4 linked regions of the Drosophila melanogaster genome follow. The protein of the gene in region 2 interacts with the protein of the main gene of each other region in a pairwise test. Each region holds a gene or a part of one and is shown on either strand. Other genes may lie near its edges.

Region 1 (4,766 bases), 1.5 Mb from region 2:
CCCGATCAAATGCCGCGACAACTGACGTTGCGTGGTCTGTGTGGGATCATTGGAGGGCGTATACAGTGCCACCAGTAAGTGGCGGCACAGCGCAGCCTCATCCAAAGCCAATGCTTGCATTTGCTGAGCCACTTGCAGCTCGCCTTCTTCAATAATGGCCCGCAGCACCAATCCAGCTCCCTTCACGATCGCCAGCGAGGGATGCTGGAACAGTTTGTACAAATAGCGTCCACGATCGGCAACCAGCTCCAGCAGAGTATCGAACTGCTTGCCGTCAGTGGTCTCGCTGTAAGGCACACACAAGGCAAAGGTCATGAAGTCCAGCATGGCTGAGAGTACCAGAGCACCACTGCCATGGCTCTGAAATCATAAATAGTTACAAAACGAATTGACCGCACTCTAGAATGGTTACATTACCACATGGGTTGTCCACATGTTGAGCAAAGTTTCCAGAAACGATTTTGATGACAGAATGGATGACTTGTTAAGTTGCTCCTGTTTTAAATCATGGTCAGAATTCACAGAATGCATTAGCGAGTTAATCATGTCAATGGCGGAGTATGTCACAGCCAAATCCTTGCGTCTTAAAGCAGCCACCACCTTTGTACCGATAATCTCACGAAAGCTGAAATGTATTCAAACATTAACAATGCTATTAGTACGAAACTAGAATATATTACCCCGGGAGATTCGTAAAGGCTGCGTATCCAACTTTGCTAGCGAGAAGACGAGTAAGAGCGTGAAAGATAGCCTCCAGCTCCAAGTTGCTCAGCTGGGCCGTAGGGCTGTCCAGCTCCTTTTGAGCCAACGCTTGCAGGGCACTCAGGATAAGTTTATCTTTGTTTTCAGCAAACAAGCTCTGTGAAACGAAACATTAGTTAGGTTGAACCGGAATCCGAGCATTAGGTTAACCTACATCCTGAGTTACACTGTAGTTGAGGCCACTGTGAGGCACATTGGCATTAAAGCGCTCCAAGATCTCATACCGCTTAGAGGGGTTTTGAAAATTGTTGATAACCAGGCGCATCAAATTCGCCTCCGTCTCCTCGTCCACCGAGCTGTTCAATGGCACATACCGTTTCCCTCGCGGCGTGTTGCCAATGCGGACGTGCACATCCTGATTGCCACTGGAGCGGACAGCATCCAGAACAGTGGCCAACAATGAGTCGCGGTCGTTGGTGCTGTAGTTGCGCACGATTCCATTCTTGTACTCGATGCTGAAGCGCTGAAGATTGTCCTTGTCTCTAACTAAGGCAAACACATCAGTGAGCGGACGCAGGGTGCAGACGCTGTAGGTTTGAGGATCCCGCTCCAGCAGCGTTACCTCGGTGAGGCAGAGTATACGCTTCACCGGATCCGGATGGCGGGGCGTTATCTTATGAACCGAGAATTCGGTCGACGAGGTTTGAAACTGGTCACCACTGAAATATTATATGGCTTTTTTTTTCTACAAATTCTTTATTGCGTTTCACATGAACTTACCTAAACTTGCCGAACCGCTGCCTCTCGAACTGCTCCAGAGTGATCTGACTCTTGAGTATTTTGGTTTCGATGCCCAGAAACTGAGCCGATCTCTGTGCTATGTTCTGCACGATTTCGTGGTGATTCAGCGCCTTAAACAAATGGAGGCGACTGAATCCGCCGTAGGCCATCACGATTCCTCCCTCATAGTCCGAGATGCCTGCTTAAAACGTGTGCGGAAGAAAGATGAGTGCGGCAAGTAACCAAAAATAAAAAAAAGAACAAAACACGGAGCGATCATATTGAATTGTAATTGAGGCACATGAGGACAAAACAAGACACATTAATTGATGCAAGCGAGTCGAATGTGCATAGCTACCTATTATTCCCTCGATATCCTTGTACATATAGCTGGCCAGCACGTCGTTGGTGGTGGGATCGAGCTGGTCCAGAGAACAGGGCGTGACCTCCAGTACTGTGGGAAGACTGATGCCCGACCAGTGGTATTTGTAAGCACTAAAGCGCTACAAAATTTAGATAGTATTCAAAATTAAAATTTTGACAGATTAGAATTCATATTGCATATTTAAATGTTAATTAGAAACATCTGAATCACACATGAAATGTTGGAGAAGTGTTTCCAAATTAGTATAGGATTTAAAGCGAGACTCAAAAACCAACCTGAGCATTTTTCGGCTTGTCCGCAAACTCTTTGTAGTACTTTAATATAGAGCTTAGGATATCGTTCCGATATTCCGACGATAACTTGATTGTATCTAGTTTCTTATCCTTTTTGATGGTAATCACGAAGTCATGGGGTATCTGAAAGATCAATTTATTTAGTTCCGAGCTCTCCGTAGGATCTTATAAACTCACATTTGTGGTCTTTGAGGGTGCTGCTGCTACGATGTCCGAATAGGACCACCTGTTAGTCAGGTCAAGCTTGTCCGGATTGTAGGTGGATATGCCGGCCGTGCCGATGGAGAGGATGCGCTTATACCTGCCCTTCCAGGAGTGCTTGGTCACCAGGAAGCACTCCAGATCGACGTTTTCCTTAGGCGGCAGCATCGTTTCTTGTGACGATTCCAACTGATTACCTTCCACCCAGTATTAGTCAGCAACTGAAAGTGAGTGAGATATGGAGTGTGGGAACGGGAGTCAAATCAGAGCCGCGGCAATTCATGACTGGTCTTTCGGGCGCGCAGCTGGTTCACGTTCCCAGCGGTTTCCAAATATCCAATTGACTTGCCCCCGACTCCAGGGCACTGATTAATTAAGTCGACTTGGGCACTTATCAGCAGAAGTGCCAACGGAGCCCCAACAAAGACCAGAAAAGGGGAGTAAACGTGACGAGTGCGGAATGCTGCGGCCCCCAGAGCGCGGACCGTTGGATACGGCTCCGCCGAGCTGCAGCCCTGGCGGTGGCTTACCTTAAACATCTAACACATTTTGCCCAATTGTTATATTGTCTTCTATTCCTAATATCTCTCGTTTGCGGAATTTTTGCAATAAACAATTTAGCAGTAACACGGCTACACAACACTAATAAATAGAGGTGCAAGTATCGATGGCAATAGTCTTGCAGCGATTCGATAGTTTGTAAGGTTCTATCGATAGTGGTCCCGTTCAGCAGCAATTGGTAAACGCATATTCACGGTATTCTCGGAGTATTTAAGTTTCAAGCTTAATTCACTTTTGAGTCAGGATGTTTGTTTGTGCCATAAAACATTTTATAAAACCAAATTGCAATTAAACCTGATTCCAGCTTTTTCCCAATTTTTCCCATACCAATTACCAGTTTATACGTTTCGCTTTTCATAACGATTAAATAATTGCTAATAATTTTATGTAGAATATGAACGCACGACACTTTTATCTGTATATCATTATTTTTAAGTTTAATATGTGATCACTAAACAATAAGGAATACCATAGTTGATAACTATCGATAGTTTGAATATTAAAAAAAAAGAAAAACATTGCCGGTTGGGGATACGATTTTTTACCGTTAAAAAAGGAAATGTAAAAACAAAGCTTTTATTCGTATTTATTTACAAAGACCAGTGATTCAATGAAGGCAAATACTAGTAGCATAACATTTTCATTGTATCACAAAAGCACTTACACAGAATTTATTCAGCCAATAAAACACGTCGTCTGAACTTAACTACCATTAAAAACTTTATTTCTGATTTCGCATTGCATTAAGCGTACGTATTGTTATCTAAATACAAATAATGATGGCAGAGTGTGTTTGCATACGAGAATAATAATTCCAAGATAAAACAATCTCGCCAGCAGAGGCAAATAAAACAAACAAAACAATAAGACGATTCGCATTTTACACAAATGTAGTATGCTATGATACGGATGCTGCACTACCTCCGGCTAATCCTCGCAACTAGGGCAATGATGGTGATAGTAATAATGTTTCGTATGCGTAGGTATGTTATGTGTCACCATATAAATTCTCAAAGTGACACGGATCCCGATGCCGGCGCAACATTGTGGACCCACAGACGGGGTGTTAAAGATAAAGACGGACGGGATGATACGGATGACACTAAGTCTTAGACAAATGTTACGTTAAAACCCTAAGCATAGTTATCGCTATCTTCTAACAACATGAACATGGAGTGGACGTAGGCACATGGCGTTTCTGTGTTGAAACTCGCTCTTAAACTGGGAATGGGAATAGGAGTCGCCGGACCTCGGTCCCAGGTCAGCAGGAACACTTGTTCTTGGCATCCGATCCGGTTGCATCGGCCGCGCTCAAGTTGAACTTGTCGCCATCGGCCAGATCGGCAGATATCAGCTTATCGTTGATGAGTATCTGTCGGGCGAGTGGAAGAAGATTAGCGGGGCTTTGGCTGGGCATTAGCAGCGATTATCACCTTATTCACGAGGGCACGAGCTGCCTCATCGATGTTGATATTCTCCTTGGCGGATGTCTCAAACCAACCGGCAAATCCGTTCTCCCTCACATACTCATCCATCTTCTCGGGCTGCGTTATGATGCCCTGCTTTTCCTGGTCGCACTGGAAAACGGATGAGCAACGTATTAATCACATAATATAGAAATTATGCGGTCTCCTTTAACCTTTAGGCAATCACTTACTTTATTGGCCAGCAGGATGCACGGAATGGGACTGCCGTCCGGCAGCTGCACCTTGGAGTCTAGATCTTCCTTCCACTTGCTCACGCAATCGAAAGTCCCACTGCGAGTCACATCAAAAACGATGAACGCGCCCACCGCCTCCTTGTAGTAGACACGGGTCATGTTGCCAAACCTCTCCTGACCGGCG
Region 2 (5,784 bases):
GAAAGCCACCTTGGTAGCTGTGGGCCATGATCGAGTGTCCATCGCCGGAGAACTTTCCACCATAGAAGCCCACGGAGTTTCCACCCACTTCACCCACGCGAACTTCTTCCAACCAAATGCCTTCTTCCGTAGGTGCCCAAATTATGACGGTCTTGTCAATAGAAGCGGATAGAAGGCGGAGCTCTAAATGGATAACGTTTTTGAAAGGTCTTTGGGGAGTTCAATTGCTGTGCTTTACCTTGATCGGGTGTTTTGTGCCAGTGGACCCCATAAATCCATCCCTCATGTCCATATAGAACCGATTCCAAGCTCACTGCATACCAGGCTTCTTTCCCCAGTTGTAGTATCTTCTCCTCCACCTTTATCTCATCGTCGTTGTGGCTCAATTGATGCAGATCAACCCGATTCTCTTGCATTTGCTCTTTGCTGCGCGGCGCAATCCGCCAGAGACGAATAAAGTTATCCTGAGAGCCACTGGCCAGCAGCAAATCCTCGCCATCGACAACGAAATCCAGACCTCGAACCCAGTCTTCGTGGCCAGTGAGCTTGTGTTTGCGTTGGAACTGCCGACCTAGTGAATCTCCTTCACCTGCGGTTTCTACCTGTTCCGACCACAGGGAAACAGTCTCGTCATCGCCACTGAAGGCGAGCAGAACCTGGTTGCTCTTGGGCAGCAGCTGCAGTCGAAGACAGAAGCAGAATCCGTCGGATAAAGATATGGTTTGAAAGCACACATAATTATTATCCTGGAAAGTCCACAACTTGATGGTGGTATCTGCTGCTGCGGTCGCCAAAAGCCAGGAGCCATCCTGTTGGCGAATTCCATCCACAGTATTTACGCCACTTGTGTGTCCTTTGAGAGTGAAGCTCTTAGTCGTTCCCGTTTCATCCAGTTCCCAGAGAATAGCAATTGCATCATCTCCGCCGGAAAGAAGTTTGTCGCAATCCAACCACCTCACAGTGTTTACTCGCTTTGTGTGCTCCACCAGCGTGAACAGGACCTTGGCTGAGTTGCCTTGAAACTAAAAATTGGTTAAATATACTATGTTTCCAGTAAAGGCAAAATTTCCTACCTTTGGATCCATAATGGCTATGGCGTTACATGCCCCATAGGCAATCCAACCATTTGGACCCCAATCCGCGCATTCCGTGCAGCGGTTGCAGGCCACTGAAGTATGCAGATTCTCCACTTGCATGCTAATGTTGCACTTCTATTTTTTAATGACAACTAAATTCGAATTGAATGTCGGCGAAATTGTTTTGTTTTGGCACATGTGCTTCAAATAATGCAGTGCTTCTAAAACTGTCTCATCTGTTCATAAACATATGATTTCTAAGGGAGTGCAAGTGAGACAACTATATGTTGTGAAGAAGCTGGAATAGTGAGGCCAGCCGACAATATTGAAAAGTCTGGCAGGGCTAGTTACGAAAGTTACACCTGTTTGGTTTTTGATTTTTCGGTATTGCAGACCATTGCAAAATTTTGACCGAATAAATATTGCAACTTCTGTAATACTGGGTATATGATGGATTTTAAAATTTGAAAAGGCACAAACACAGCTGCTACATTCGTCAGCCTTTTCACTTCAAATCTAGCGCTTTTCCACTGCTACTGTTTGGTCACACTGGTGCGCAAAATAACTAAAACAAACTCGGAAAAGGCGTCCGCAAATGTTTTCTTCTGCTGCTCCCCGCGTTTAATTAAAAGTAATTTTCCTAATTGATGGCCAGGGGTGAGCCCCAGTTGCTGATATTTGACCTTTCACCGCCAGCGTTTCGGATTTCCAATCAGAAAGCCAACAGCTTGCAACTGACTCACAACGAAGTCACTTGAGATTGTCCGAGTTTTTTTTCAACTTCGGTATTCTATTTTTCGTATCTCCCCTGCAGCTTGTGAGCGTCTTGGAATGCTGAATGTGTTTCGCCAGCAGTATAATCGAAGCGCACAGGAAGTTATTTATAGCGCCGCCGGATTTGGATCATTCCGATCCAGCCACACCCACGATTTCGACCAGATCCAAAATGCCGAGGGGGAAATCCCGCCTGCAAACCGAAGTTTGTGGCGATTGCGGAGCTGGTGATCCATCCTGGGCGAGCATCAACCGGGGCATCCTTCTCTGCGCCGACTGCTGTTCGGTGCACCGCAGTCTGGGCAGGCACATCTCCATTGTGAAGTCTCTACGCCAGGGTAACTGGGAGCCCTCGGTTCTGAACTTTGTGAACTCTCTAAACGCCCATGGAGCCAATAGTGTTTGGGAGCATCATCTGCTGGATGGCAGCACCAACTCCACCGGCGGAAAGCACGTGCCACGCTGGCGGAAACCCACGCCCAAGGATGCACTCCATCCCACCAAATCCGATTTTATTAAGGCCAAGCATGTGAATCTAACGTTCGTGCTAAAACCCAGTCTCCAGGATGACGATGATGGCAATGGCTCAGCGGGCTGTCTGGAACAGGAGCTGAGTAGACAGCTCCATGCCAGCGTGCGGACCAGCAATCTAGAGACTTCACTGCGCTTCTTGGTCCAGGGTGCAGACCCAAATTACTACCACGAGGACAAGCTATCAACGCCACTTCACATGGCCGCCAAGTTTGGCCAGGCATCACAAATCGAGATGCTGCTCATCTATGGAGCCGATGTGAATGCCTTGGATGGCAATGGGATGACTCCTCTGGAACTGGCCAGGGCCAACAATCATAACACCATCGCCGAAAGACTGCTTGATGCCATGTACGATGTCACCGACAGGATCATTACCTTCCTAGGTGGCAAGAAGCCAGATCATGCGGTGAGTTTAGATCTTTAATTACCTGCAGAGTGAAATTATACTTTAATTGGACAAACCATTTAACCTTATCCATTGATTAATCATATATGTATTAAGCCAATTAAGCTATATCCTTGTAACTCCTTAAGTTGTCTTCAGTCTAAAGTTTATAACTATCTATTTAAATTTTTGTTAGTCACAGAACTATATTTATTTAATGGATTCATATTTCCATGAGCAAATGCACAGTTGACTCGACCTTTCCTACCCATTTCCTTATTCCGTTCTATTTAAATACTATTTCCATACGTAGAGTGGCCGCCACATGATTATTCCGGATGCCAATGGCGCGGACATAAGCGAGCAACTGAAGATTGCACGTGGAAAGTTGCAACTCGTGCCAAATAAGATGTTTGAGGAGCTGGTCATGGACCTATACGATGAGGTGGACAGACGCGAGTGCGAAGCCAGTGAGTATGACTGCTAAACATAGACTACAAACAAAGCTAATCTTATTTTTCTTAACGAAATAGTCTGGTCGACAAGCACCCTGAATGCTGATCATGCAACTGTGCCATTTTTGCCGGCTAATCCATTTTTGAGCGCCACGCGCAATCAGGTTTGACCTCGCCGTACATTAATGATTCGAACCTTCATTCATTGACATGGTCTCGCCTACAGGGTCGTCAGAAATTGGCACGCTTCAATCGCGCCGAGTTCACTGGTCTCTTGACCGACGTGCTCGTCGATGCTATGCGACGCCAGAATATGGCCAACCTGCGTCCAATGGATGCCCCAGTGGCCGGGCACCAGTCGCTGCAATCGCTGCCGTATGCCAACAACTCAATGCTGCTCGGCTCGTTCGAGCAGGGCGGTCATGATCCGAATCTGTCGGACGACGAGCCCATTTATGATCCGGTGGCCAGCGATGACGACTATGCCCCAGTGCCACCAATGGCCCAGCAGGTAAACCTAATGCGGCAAAAGATACTCAAGCTGAACAATAGCTTTGGCTAGAAGCGTAAGCGAAGACTGACATTTAGACAACCCGTGCTGTACCCATTGTGTTCATCCGTAGGCCAGGGCACTATAGCTCCCTGATTTTAGGCAACCTAATCCATTTTCAAAGGTAGAAGTCCAAATGTAGAACATAAGCCTCAATAAAACTAGCTGATACTTGTGAAAATGTAGTTTAAATAAGTAGTAGTTGGTACCGTGATTTGTCTGCCTTGCCTTTTGTTTTTATGCAATATTTATTTTTAAAGATTTTGTAATTATTAGTTGTACTTGATTTATATTGATTTATTTTCCTTGTTTTTATGCTTTTTATTTTACTTAGGCCATTGTGCATACGCCACCGCGCAGCGCGAATTCGCACAACGAAATGGAAACGCTGCGCAAACAGCTGAACGATTACAAATCGGAGATCAATCAGCTAAAGAACGTGGTGCAGATGCTGTCCAGCGAGAACACGCAGCTCAAGTCCAAGTTCTCGAGCGCATCGAACAACAGCGTGTACGATGAGCCACTGTGAGATTTTTCATTTGAATTTATTTGGCTAGCTTTATTTTTATGATTTGTTTTAAATTTTCCTTTGCATAGTCGCATTGATCTGAGCTTGAGCAGTCCGGATACAGAGCACGAGCCTCTGTCGCTACCCGAAGGTGGGACTGCCAATGGGGAAAGCGGCTCCTCCAATGATTCGTCAAATCAATCGACCATCAAGCGTCCAGCCAGCATGTACGAGCGTCGTTTGGTACCCAATGTGGCCAAGGGCAATACGGACATACGAAATACGACCAGCATGTACCAAATGGCTGGGGATGGCAAACCTTTTGGTGAGGAGGTCAAAGTGCGCTCTGACTTGGTCACACGCCGTCTTAAGGAGCTCATAAGAGCTATGCAGCCAGTGCCAGAGGATCAAAAGCAGTCGATTGCTCCACATGGAGAGCTTATACGAAGTGCCGTGACTGATTTAATTGCCCTTTATGCCAATTTGGTAAGATGAACATAGGGGCTTCCTTTATAAGGATGTTTCATAATCATAAACATATATTTTAGCCACCGAATGCCAGTGACCCGTCTCGCGAAACCCTTAAACTGCTAACCCGCCAGAACATTCTCATCCAGCACGAGTGCGAGAATCTGCAGAAAGCCATCGAGGCGGATGACAAGCAGGCCATACAGAAGAACACCTTGGAGGTGCGCGACTGCGCCTTCCACATTGCCAGTGCCATAAAGACTTTGGTGTTGCAGTTCTATTGAGACGCCCAAAACACAATCATCGACATAGAAGTTTAAACTCACTCACTCTTTTTTGAAGTATTAACCGACCACTTTAGTGCCCTGCTGACTAACAAAAGTGCTTCCGCCAAATAATTTAAAGAATCCCCTTTACATATAGTTTATGTATTTAATAAATGTTTACATAAATCAATGTACTTCGTTCAATATACACAAAATGCGTTCTTCTACGGGCTAATGACCCATTGCAAAATAGTTTAAAAGTGTTGAAGGATTGGCCCTCAAATTCAAAGGGGGGGAGACAAAGGAGGTGGAAAGATTTACGATATCTGTGTATATATATATATATTTATGGGTCCTTTATAATTTTAATAATCAGGTGCATTTTGAGCCTGTATATTGTTCACTTTAGTTAACTGTACGTTCTAAGCATGGACAATCAGTTAAGCATGGAGTACATATGTATAAGTGGCTTCCTCTACTTATTGTTTAACTTTGTGTAATTGAGTGGGTAGCTGCTGCCTTTGCTCTGGCTGTTTTTCTGACCTCCGGCTGGTGGTCGGATTGCTCGCCTATGGACAAAAATACACTCGTGGTGGTTGTGGTGTGCAAGTTCAAGGAACTATTTAAGATTAAAGCATTTATCCATGAGTGTTGCACGACTGTGCTCGCGGTCTCTAAAAAATAATATGCTCTGCCATGTTCGAAGCGCACCAAAAGTGTCCATAAAAATATACACATCCCATTTTGACATTCAAAATCTAGGTGCAT
Region 3 (3,952 bases), 8.3 Mb from region 2:
TAGAGCACAGATTAAGCATACGACGTGTTGTGCAGTTATCAACGCGATGCCAACGATTCCTAACGGAACACCGTGCGTCGTCCCATGGCGGAGGTCTGTTCCCTCAAACGCTCCACCTTGGTCTTCGGTAATTTATGATTCGCAGCGCACGGCCCGCAAATGATCTATTGCCCATTGCAGTTATCCAAGCGGAGTAGGTGGAGCAGGGAGCAGCCGAGGACTTTGGATCGGCACTTGTTGCATCAGCATCGGGCGACCATAACAGCCACAAGTGATTTCTTTCGCATCGATGCCTCCAGGCGCTGCTGACAGTTACAAAGTGCGCCCACTAGTTGGCGGTCAGGTTAAAATGACCCAAACTAAAAGCCAAAGCGAAGCCGAGCCACAATGCATATACGCGTTGTCGACGCCATCTCCCTAGCTTTGATTAATGGACTTTTCGTGTTGGCTTCGATTCTGGCCACGGCGTCATAAATAAACTCTAAAAATGCAACAACAGGCAAAAGGTGGAGCACGTCTGTGCGGCGCATATTTATCATTGGTAAACTTTATTCTTAACATTTACATACAACGCGTTAAAATTACTTGTCCAATTGTTTTTCACTTTAGATATTACAATTTTATGCCTATTTCATATATATGGATATCGTAGATGAAGTGCTTGAAAAGTTGAAAATAACTGTTTACACAATAGAATTCTATGTCAATTTTAAACTAGTCAATTTAAATCTGGCTACTATAAGTTACAGTTTTGTGTGTGTTCCGGCGGAGCGCAGGACTTGGAGAGCTAGAAAACGTTCGAGTGCCAAAGAGCACATTCGTAAAAGACCTATACAATTCGAGCTGACTTGACTCGTTCCATTGCTTTTGCTAATGCTGATCCTTTCGCCGTGGCTTCTGCTGGTGCTGGAGTTTTTGCCGACTGCTTAGACCCACTGATCTCGCCCTGCCGCTTGGGACACTATAAGGACGGCGGATCGTACTGGAAGCCCGGGTTGTTGAACTTGAAGCGCGCAATCTCAAATTGCAGTGTCTCGAATTTGATGTCGGCCAGTCGCTTCAGCTGGTGCGCGATCTGCTGGGCATCGCTGCTGCTCAGCGCGCTTGTCAGCGAACTGGGTTCCCGCTCCAGCTTTGTACTGTGCAGCGGCGGCACGGCCTGCATGTTTGAAATGCAACGCGGCGCATTTTTAACTGAAAGATATGGAAAAACGTGATGTTAACTGCTTAAACTTAAGCAAAGTAAAACGGCATAGTTACCTTCGTAGATAATTTGCTCCCTGGGCTGTGTGCGCATCCGCTTGACGGGCAGCTCGCCGTTGATCAGCTTATTGCCGGAGGAGGCTGTGCCCGGATTGATGACGGGGGCAGCAGGCCTGCGGGATGTGACGTACTCGACGGCGTGCGGCTGCACCGTTTGGGGATCCTCCTCGACATGCTCGAAGGATGTGTTGTCCACGACGATGGTGCGATAGGTGCCGCCACCCGTATTGACCGCCGTTGTGGACGCGGTGATGCCGGTCTCCGCCAGATTCTCCTCCATCATGTCCTCGTGATCGACATGCTCCTCCACCATCTCCTCCTCGTCCACCTCATCGTTGATTGCCTCTTCAACGGCTGCCTGAAGTTCCTTTTGAAATGCCACCGAAGTACGCTGGCCCAGTTCCTCCATCTCGTCGTCGTGCTCATCCTTTTCGGACTTCAGATTGAGCATCGTTTCGCCGCCGGTGGTGGGCACCTTGCCAAAGAGATCGAGAGCGCGCGTCTCCACGGAGGTCATCGAGATGTCCTTTTCCGTGGACAGAAGGCTGCGTCTGTACTTGCAGCGAGTGGTGTTCTTCCAATCGTTTAGGCGCTGTATGTGGAGCAGGAAATTCGCGATTAGAGGTAACATTATTTGGGTGATGTAGTGGTACTCGTACCTTGCGCCACTCCTCCGGCGTCAGTGTGGGTCCGGAGCTGCACTTGTTTAGCCGGTCGGAGAGCTCCTTCCACTTTTTGGTCAAGTAGTTCAGGTCATAGTCGCGCGGCACTCGTCCGGTGGCGAAAATGGGGTCGCTCTCCATCATGTCGATGTACATTTGGTACTGCTCCGATGAGGTGCGTTTCTTGCGGCGGTCCATCTTGCCGTTCATCCGGGTATCCTTGCTCTGTGCCTGCGTGCTCGATGCCGTGTTTAAATAGCTGGCAAAAGCCCTAAAATGCAAATCGACGCCACCAAGCGATGCGAGATGTTCACAAACAATTTACGCATTTAGCGTTTGGGATTTTCTAGTTGCATTTTGTTGCTGTTGGCGCAGGGTTGCATTCGGCACGCCAGTGGTGCGCATCTGGCGGGAAGCCAAAAAAGCAATTAGATGCCATGCGATAGTTATGGCTAGATGTGCAATAAATAATTCAATTTTGTTGCAATAAAAACATGCGGATTCAGAAATGATTTGTCACAATATTTATTAGCGGTTTCATATAAATCAATAATACATTTCAAAATATATGTGCAAAAAGTATTTCGTCGAACGATATGCATAACAACAGTCTTAAAAACGACTAATTGGTATATGGTACACACTACTCAAGAATTTGTTTTCAACGAATGCCTACTGTACTACTTATTGAGCGTTCCGCGGCTTTTAATTCGAGGCGAAATCAGCAGGTCCCTCTGAGCTCACATATTATATTACATTATACATTATATCAATGTGCATGGCTAGCATGGGCTATAATTCCGGAACGTACTCGAATCCGGGATTATTGTACTTGAAGCGGGCTATCTTAAAGTGCAGCGATGCCTCGTGTATGTCCGAAATGCGTTTCAGCTGCTCCTGGATTTTCTCTCCATAGAAGGCAGACGGTTCTTTCGCGGCAGATTGATCAGATGTGACATCCGCGACTGAAATCAAGGCTATGTCCCTTTATAGGATATTTAGTATTTACATTAGATTTGCGTCTACCCACCTTCGTAGATAATCTCACTGGAACCATCGAGCCTTAGCTTTTTCGCGGCACTGTGACCATTGATGATCGTTGGGTTGGCTTGCTCGTGAGGCTCTGCTATGAACTGCTGGTACTGCACCTCCTCCTCCTCCTCCTCATCCACCAACTCCTCCAGGTTCTCATTCTCTTCTTCATCCAGTTCCTCTTGCTCCTCCATCAGTTCGTGCAGGCGCATCGAAATTCCCTCGCGAAAATTCGGTTCTAAGGAGAAGATCTGCAGGGCTCTGTTCTCCAGAGGAGTCATTGCATTGCTCTTGTCATCCGAGTTGATGCTGCGTCGGTATTTGGAGCGCGTGCTGTTCTTCCAGTCGTTGAGGCGCTATAAGCATGACACACTGTGGGCTTGTACACTCGATACCCAACTGGTTACAACATACCTTTCGCCATTCCTCGGGCGACAAAGTGGGACCCGTGGAGCACTTGTTTAGCAGATCGCTGAGCTCCTTCCACTTCTTGCCGTCCTGGGTGCGACTCAGTTTGTTGGCCGACATCGGGGGATTCTCCTCCATGAAGTCTAGGTATACTTCGTATTGGTAGTACGACGTCCGCTTGTTGCGTCGATTCATTTTGGGGATCCAAATTATGACCAACAATTGAAAACAAACAAATTGAAACAGACGCCACAAAAAGGCAATAAAGCAACGAGCTATCGATAACACAAACAATTAAGGCTCCGAAATTAAATACCAAAACCGAAATACCAAACTATTTTAGAAAATATCAAAATAATTGTTTGGTTCTCCTAGGTTCGAAAAGAAGTTTCTTGGAATTTGTAATTTACCCGCGCCACAATCTCACAAGATTGTGTAATACATCTAAAAATATTTATTTTTCTCAAAATATCACATTTCAATTTATAAAATAAATTGGTCTAGTTCTTTAAGCATTTTTTGTGTATTTCGTAATTTTTGTAACAAAGCTAGTCCTGCTTTTTCAATCAAGTTCAATCAGAGGGTAG
Region 4 (3,917 bases), on a different chromosome or scaffold from region 2:
TCGAAGTCCCAGACAAAGAATTGCGAGACGTTTAGTTTCCCATTATTATCCCCGAAAACGTTGGACTTTGGACCAAGTTGGGGGAGATAGAAACTTTATTCAAAACTAGCCGCCCGTTTTGGGGCAGCGTTATAGGTTGGTATTTTTCGTTGATAAGATTAAACAAACATCGCAATGCGGTCACATCGTCATTGTTGATTTGTGATAGCTGTTAAATAATAATAATTCCGTTTTACGAATTTTGTAAAGATGAGCAAGCAGCCCTCGTTCGTGTCGCGCAACCTGGTGGCCGTCGTGATGATCCCCAGTCTGGTGGGGATCCATCTGGGCTGGAGCTACATGCAGAGCAACCGAAAACTGGTCACGGAGGCGGAACAGATCGAGATGCCGCCGGTCACGGTATGTTAGTCCTAATTCTTAAGGCGATCACCTCAAGACAGCAGCTCCTCTTTTTGTCCAGTTTGCCAGGTTTGTGTGGAACAAGCTAACGGGCGCAGGAAGTTCGACGGAATGACAAACCCTCTGGTGATGAGCTTAAGACATACAATCTATTTATTGTATAGAATAATTAAAACTACATGCAAACTGTATGGTACAATCGGCTGCTGCCCGGGCGACACATGTTGGCCGGGCTGCAGGTTGGGACACAGACAAAATGGAGATATAAAGCCAGAGACTACACATACTTAGTCTAGGGGGACAAGAGAGATTACTGCGTGAGGGCCGAGTGAACGGTGAGGTTGCCCAGCTGTGCGTTGAATAGAACGTCGCTGATCAGTTTCTCGGCCACGATCCGCTGCGTCGGGTTGATGGAGCGCAGTTTGCTCGCCACATTCACGCCAATGGCATCGTACTCGTCGTCTTGCCGGTGCGATGTGCTCGTAGCCGCTGTGGTGGTATAGGCAGTGGTGCCGGCATTGCCAAACAATGGCTGATAGTGATCGCGGCCTATCTGGATGGTGGGAACGCCCTGATGTTGGCCATTCGTCTGCTGCAGGTGGAGCTGCTGCTGGTGGTGCTCCAGATGATTGACCGCCTGCGTGGGGAGAGGAGGTGATTGAAGACCCTAAGGAACTCTTCACTGCTTTGGAGCTACTCACTTGTTGTATCTCGCGCTGGGAGTTGGAGTCTAGGGAGGTGATCTCTAAGACCTTCACGGCATGTCCCTGAGCCGCCGCCGCCGCAATGGAGGTCTGGGCTGCTGCATGGGCTACCATTTGCTGGTGTGCTTGGGCTGCGGCTGCCGCTGCTTCGGCCGCCTGGTGCTCCTCGCTCTTGACAAGGGTCACACATTCCGCGGGCGTCACCGAAATGGTGCTCAGAGTGGCGCCCTGACTGCTGACGACCACATTGTTGGCCGTCGCCGCGACTTCTTCCACATCGTCCGGGGACGTGGGTATTATGGACTCCATGTGCTGAGACTGAGTGCCCGTGTGATGTGAGTCGTCCTCGAACTCCATTGACTCCTCGTCGTCGAAGCTGATATGGAGTTCTCTCTTGGGCTTGGAGCCGAGTTCGTGGCGCTTGGGCTTGTGGTCAGCGATGAAAAGCAGCTTGTCGTAGTACCACAAACGCGTTGCGTAGTCGCCTTTGGTACTCGTCTTGCGGAATTCCCGCCGAAAAGCGGACCGCAGTGAGTTAATTTTCCTGTAAAGCGTGAATTGTGTTTACTGAACTGTGGCACATTTGACATGGAAATTCTCACCTTACTACCATCGCCCTGTCCGGATTGGGCTCCACTTCTTTTAGCTTCTCCACCAGGCGATCGTAGGACTTGTTACGGGCTGTGTGATTGCTGTAGTCGTTGTGCTTGGGCTGCCAGAGGCACTCCTCCTCTTGGTACTGCTCGATAAACTCCGTGAGCCAGTGGCGTGAGTACGAACGCAGGTCTAAGTTCATGGTCCCTTTCACTCGCGTTTTATTTGGGGTTTTCTCAATTAACTTCAGCTTAGTATTTTTTGTTTTCGCTGCGTCTCGCGTGAAGTTGGCTGCGCCACAAACGTCGGGGCGTTGCCAACCCAAACAAATCATCGCGGTCGAGATGGTATCGAGCCTGCATTTTTGAATATAAGGAGCAAAAATTTAAATTAGGCAAATAAAGTAAAACAACTTTAGCCCCTTAAATAAAAAGTGATCGACTTTAACGTTAAATATGACAAAGTGCATACAAATTCTCTAAAACTGAATAGCTATGTGATTCATTATCCGTTTCATTACAATTTTAAGCCAGGAAATAATGATTTACCCTTTGTATTGCATTTATGAGTGATACGGCATATCTATTGCAAGTCAAGAATATATTTTGTTTAATAATATATTTTAATGTTTATTTATGTTTAATATTTTGTTTAAACGAACTTGTATGCCAGTGAATAACACAAATATCTGTAGCACTTGTTGAAATTATTTACAACGTTTTGAAAGGGTGCTTTCTTTTACAATTGACATGACGAAACAATGACATAACGGCTCTGGAACAAATTTTATAAACAATTTTTGACAGCAGTCCTCTCTTAATTTGCACCACTGTGCCACAGTTAGAGGGTTGCGGTCTGGGCTTACCTCCAGCGTGGACTCCACCCACGCCGTCTGGCAGCGCAGTCAGCATGGCAACGCCGAGCGCAGTTCTCGATGTTTTTGTCAATTGCTCTTTGGAGCTTCGCAGGCGGAGTCCGAGAATCGCGCGGAAAATGTGCATTAACAAATAGAAAAATCCGAAATAAAGACAAAGAATTAGCTCGCGGTTAAAGAGAATACAGCACCTGTGTTTTTGGAATCGAAAATCAGTGCGAAACGCCTACCACTGCTGTGTGTTGTTGTTATTGTTGCCAAGGCCGAAGGAGCGAAAAGGGAGGCCGAAAAAAAAGAATCTGTGCTAACAAAAACAAAGGTGCGTGTAGGGCCAAACACACATGAAATCGTACATATGTACGCATATGTATACGTGTGTGTGTTCAAAATAATTTGTTGTTCTCGTTTTGCCCAATTATATAAGGTGTCCGTGTGTGAGTGGTCTTTTTGGGATGTTGCAAGCGTTTAATCGGTGTAAACAAGAGCGAATAAATGGATTGCCAAACAGTTGGTGCACAGTGGCCTTTATCGCAAAGTACTTAAATTTAAGAGAAACAAACAACAACACTTACAAGCAACAGCTGTTTTTCATTCCCCTAGGCGCACTCAGTCCAATCAGAATTAAGTCACGTATGATTCTTATAAATCAAATCCAGTTTTGTAAACAACAAACAAAAGTATTCCGAATTATTGTTCAAGGAAATAAATTGGCTAGAAAATCGCGCATGTGAAAGTGCACTTTCCGAGTAATTTGCATAAATTTCCATTGCCCCATTTGGTTTTTGTTATTTTCCTCCAAGGGGGTACAAAGTCCAGTTGGAATGATGTTGTAGCTGCTTTACTATCTACATCCCGCATCGACCCCCCCCCCCCCTCCAACGGGCTATTTATAGCAAACAAATTTCATAGCCAGAAGCAAAGTGGAAAACACTTGCTGGATAAACTGGATCCGTAGTAAGCCACAACCTTGACTGAGTGCAATAGCAGAGAAAAAAGTGCACAAACACCGCCTAACGAGCTTGTTTACGTTTATCAAGCGCCGGCAACAACAGCATCCCAGTGCACAGTGGTCGAAAAGTGTCGTTCATCGCTCGAATTCCTTATCAAAAAATTTGTTTATGGAGGGGGCACATATCAAGAGGCTGTGCTAAAATCACACTTAAGCCGCAAGCAAAGGCGCGGAATATTTGCTAAACTACTTTTGGCCCAACTTTTCAAGATAGAAGAGCTGAAATCGCTAGGTACAGTGATTACTTGTACCAGAAGGTTGCATTTGAAACGTATCAGCCTATAAAATCAATATAATTTAGTTAATTTCCTTAATCTTAGTAGTTGCTTAGTAGTAG

What was found.
Region 1: the proteins of Git (region 2) and Rme-8 interact in a two-hybrid assay, tested with the Drosophila melanogaster proteins (one large-scale study listed by BioGRID).
Region 3: the proteins of Git (region 2) and prod interact in a two-hybrid assay, tested with the Drosophila melanogaster proteins (one large-scale study listed by BioGRID).
Region 4: the proteins of Git (region 2) and CG5180 interact in a two-hybrid assay, tested with the Drosophila melanogaster proteins (one large-scale study listed by BioGRID).

What each region holds. Positions count from the first base shown.
Region 1 is NT_033778.4:9,174,251-9,179,016, forward strand, and holds the start of Rme-8 (receptor mediated endocytosis 8), read right to left. Parts: upstream 3,012-4,766; 5' UTR 2,892-3,011; intron 2,583-2,891; 5' UTR 2,530-2,582; coding exon 2,338-2,529; intron 2,284-2,337; coding exon 2,143-2,283; intron 1,986-2,142; coding exon 1,841-1,985; intron 1,685-1,840; coding exon 1,483-1,684; intron 1,422-1,482; coding exon 917-1,421; intron 860-916; coding exon 681-859; intron 626-680; coding exon 418-625; intron 361-417; coding exon 1-360. Other genes in the region: Rab32, read right to left, coding at 4,184-4,294, 4,356-4,499, 4,580-4,766.
Region 2 is NT_033778.4:10,641,261-10,647,044, reverse strand, and holds Git (G protein-coupled receptor kinase interacting ArfGAP), read left to right. Parts: upstream 1-1,617; 5' UTR 1,618-1,707; intron 1,708-1,890; 5' UTR 1,891-1,914; coding exon 1,915-2,790; intron 2,791-3,082; coding exon 3,083-3,239; intron 3,240-3,302; coding exon 3,303-3,388; intron 3,389-3,450; coding exon 3,451-3,735; intron 3,736-4,108; coding exon 4,109-4,299; intron 4,300-4,371; coding exon 4,372-4,768; intron 4,769-4,830; coding exon 4,831-5,034; 3' UTR 5,035-5,227; downstream 5,228-5,784. Other genes in the region: Elp2 (elongator complex protein 2), read right to left, coding at 1-183, 239-1,022, 1,074-1,196. UniProt on the Drosophila melanogaster protein: GTPase-activating protein for ADP ribosylation factor family members, including ARF1.
Region 3 is NT_033778.4:18,968,874-18,972,825, forward strand, and holds prod (proliferation disrupter), read right to left. Parts: upstream 2,261-3,952; 5' UTR 2,136-2,260; coding exon 1,923-2,135; intron 1,856-1,922; coding exon 1,261-1,855; intron 1,195-1,260; coding exon 962-1,194; 3' UTR 531-961; downstream 1-530. Other genes in the region: CG15107 (uncharacterized protein), read right to left, coding at 2,718-2,902, 2,956-3,313, 3,372-3,560.
Region 4 is NT_033777.3:20,556,380-20,560,296, reverse strand, and holds CG5180 (uncharacterized protein), read right to left. Parts: upstream 2,368-3,917; 5' UTR 2,246-2,367; intron 2,054-2,245; 5' UTR 1,900-2,053; coding exon 1,706-1,899; intron 1,648-1,705; coding exon 1,101-1,647; intron 1,037-1,100; coding exon 710-1,036; 3' UTR 537-709; downstream 1-536. Other genes in the region: CG15922 (uncharacterized protein), read left to right, coding at 250-399, 461-514.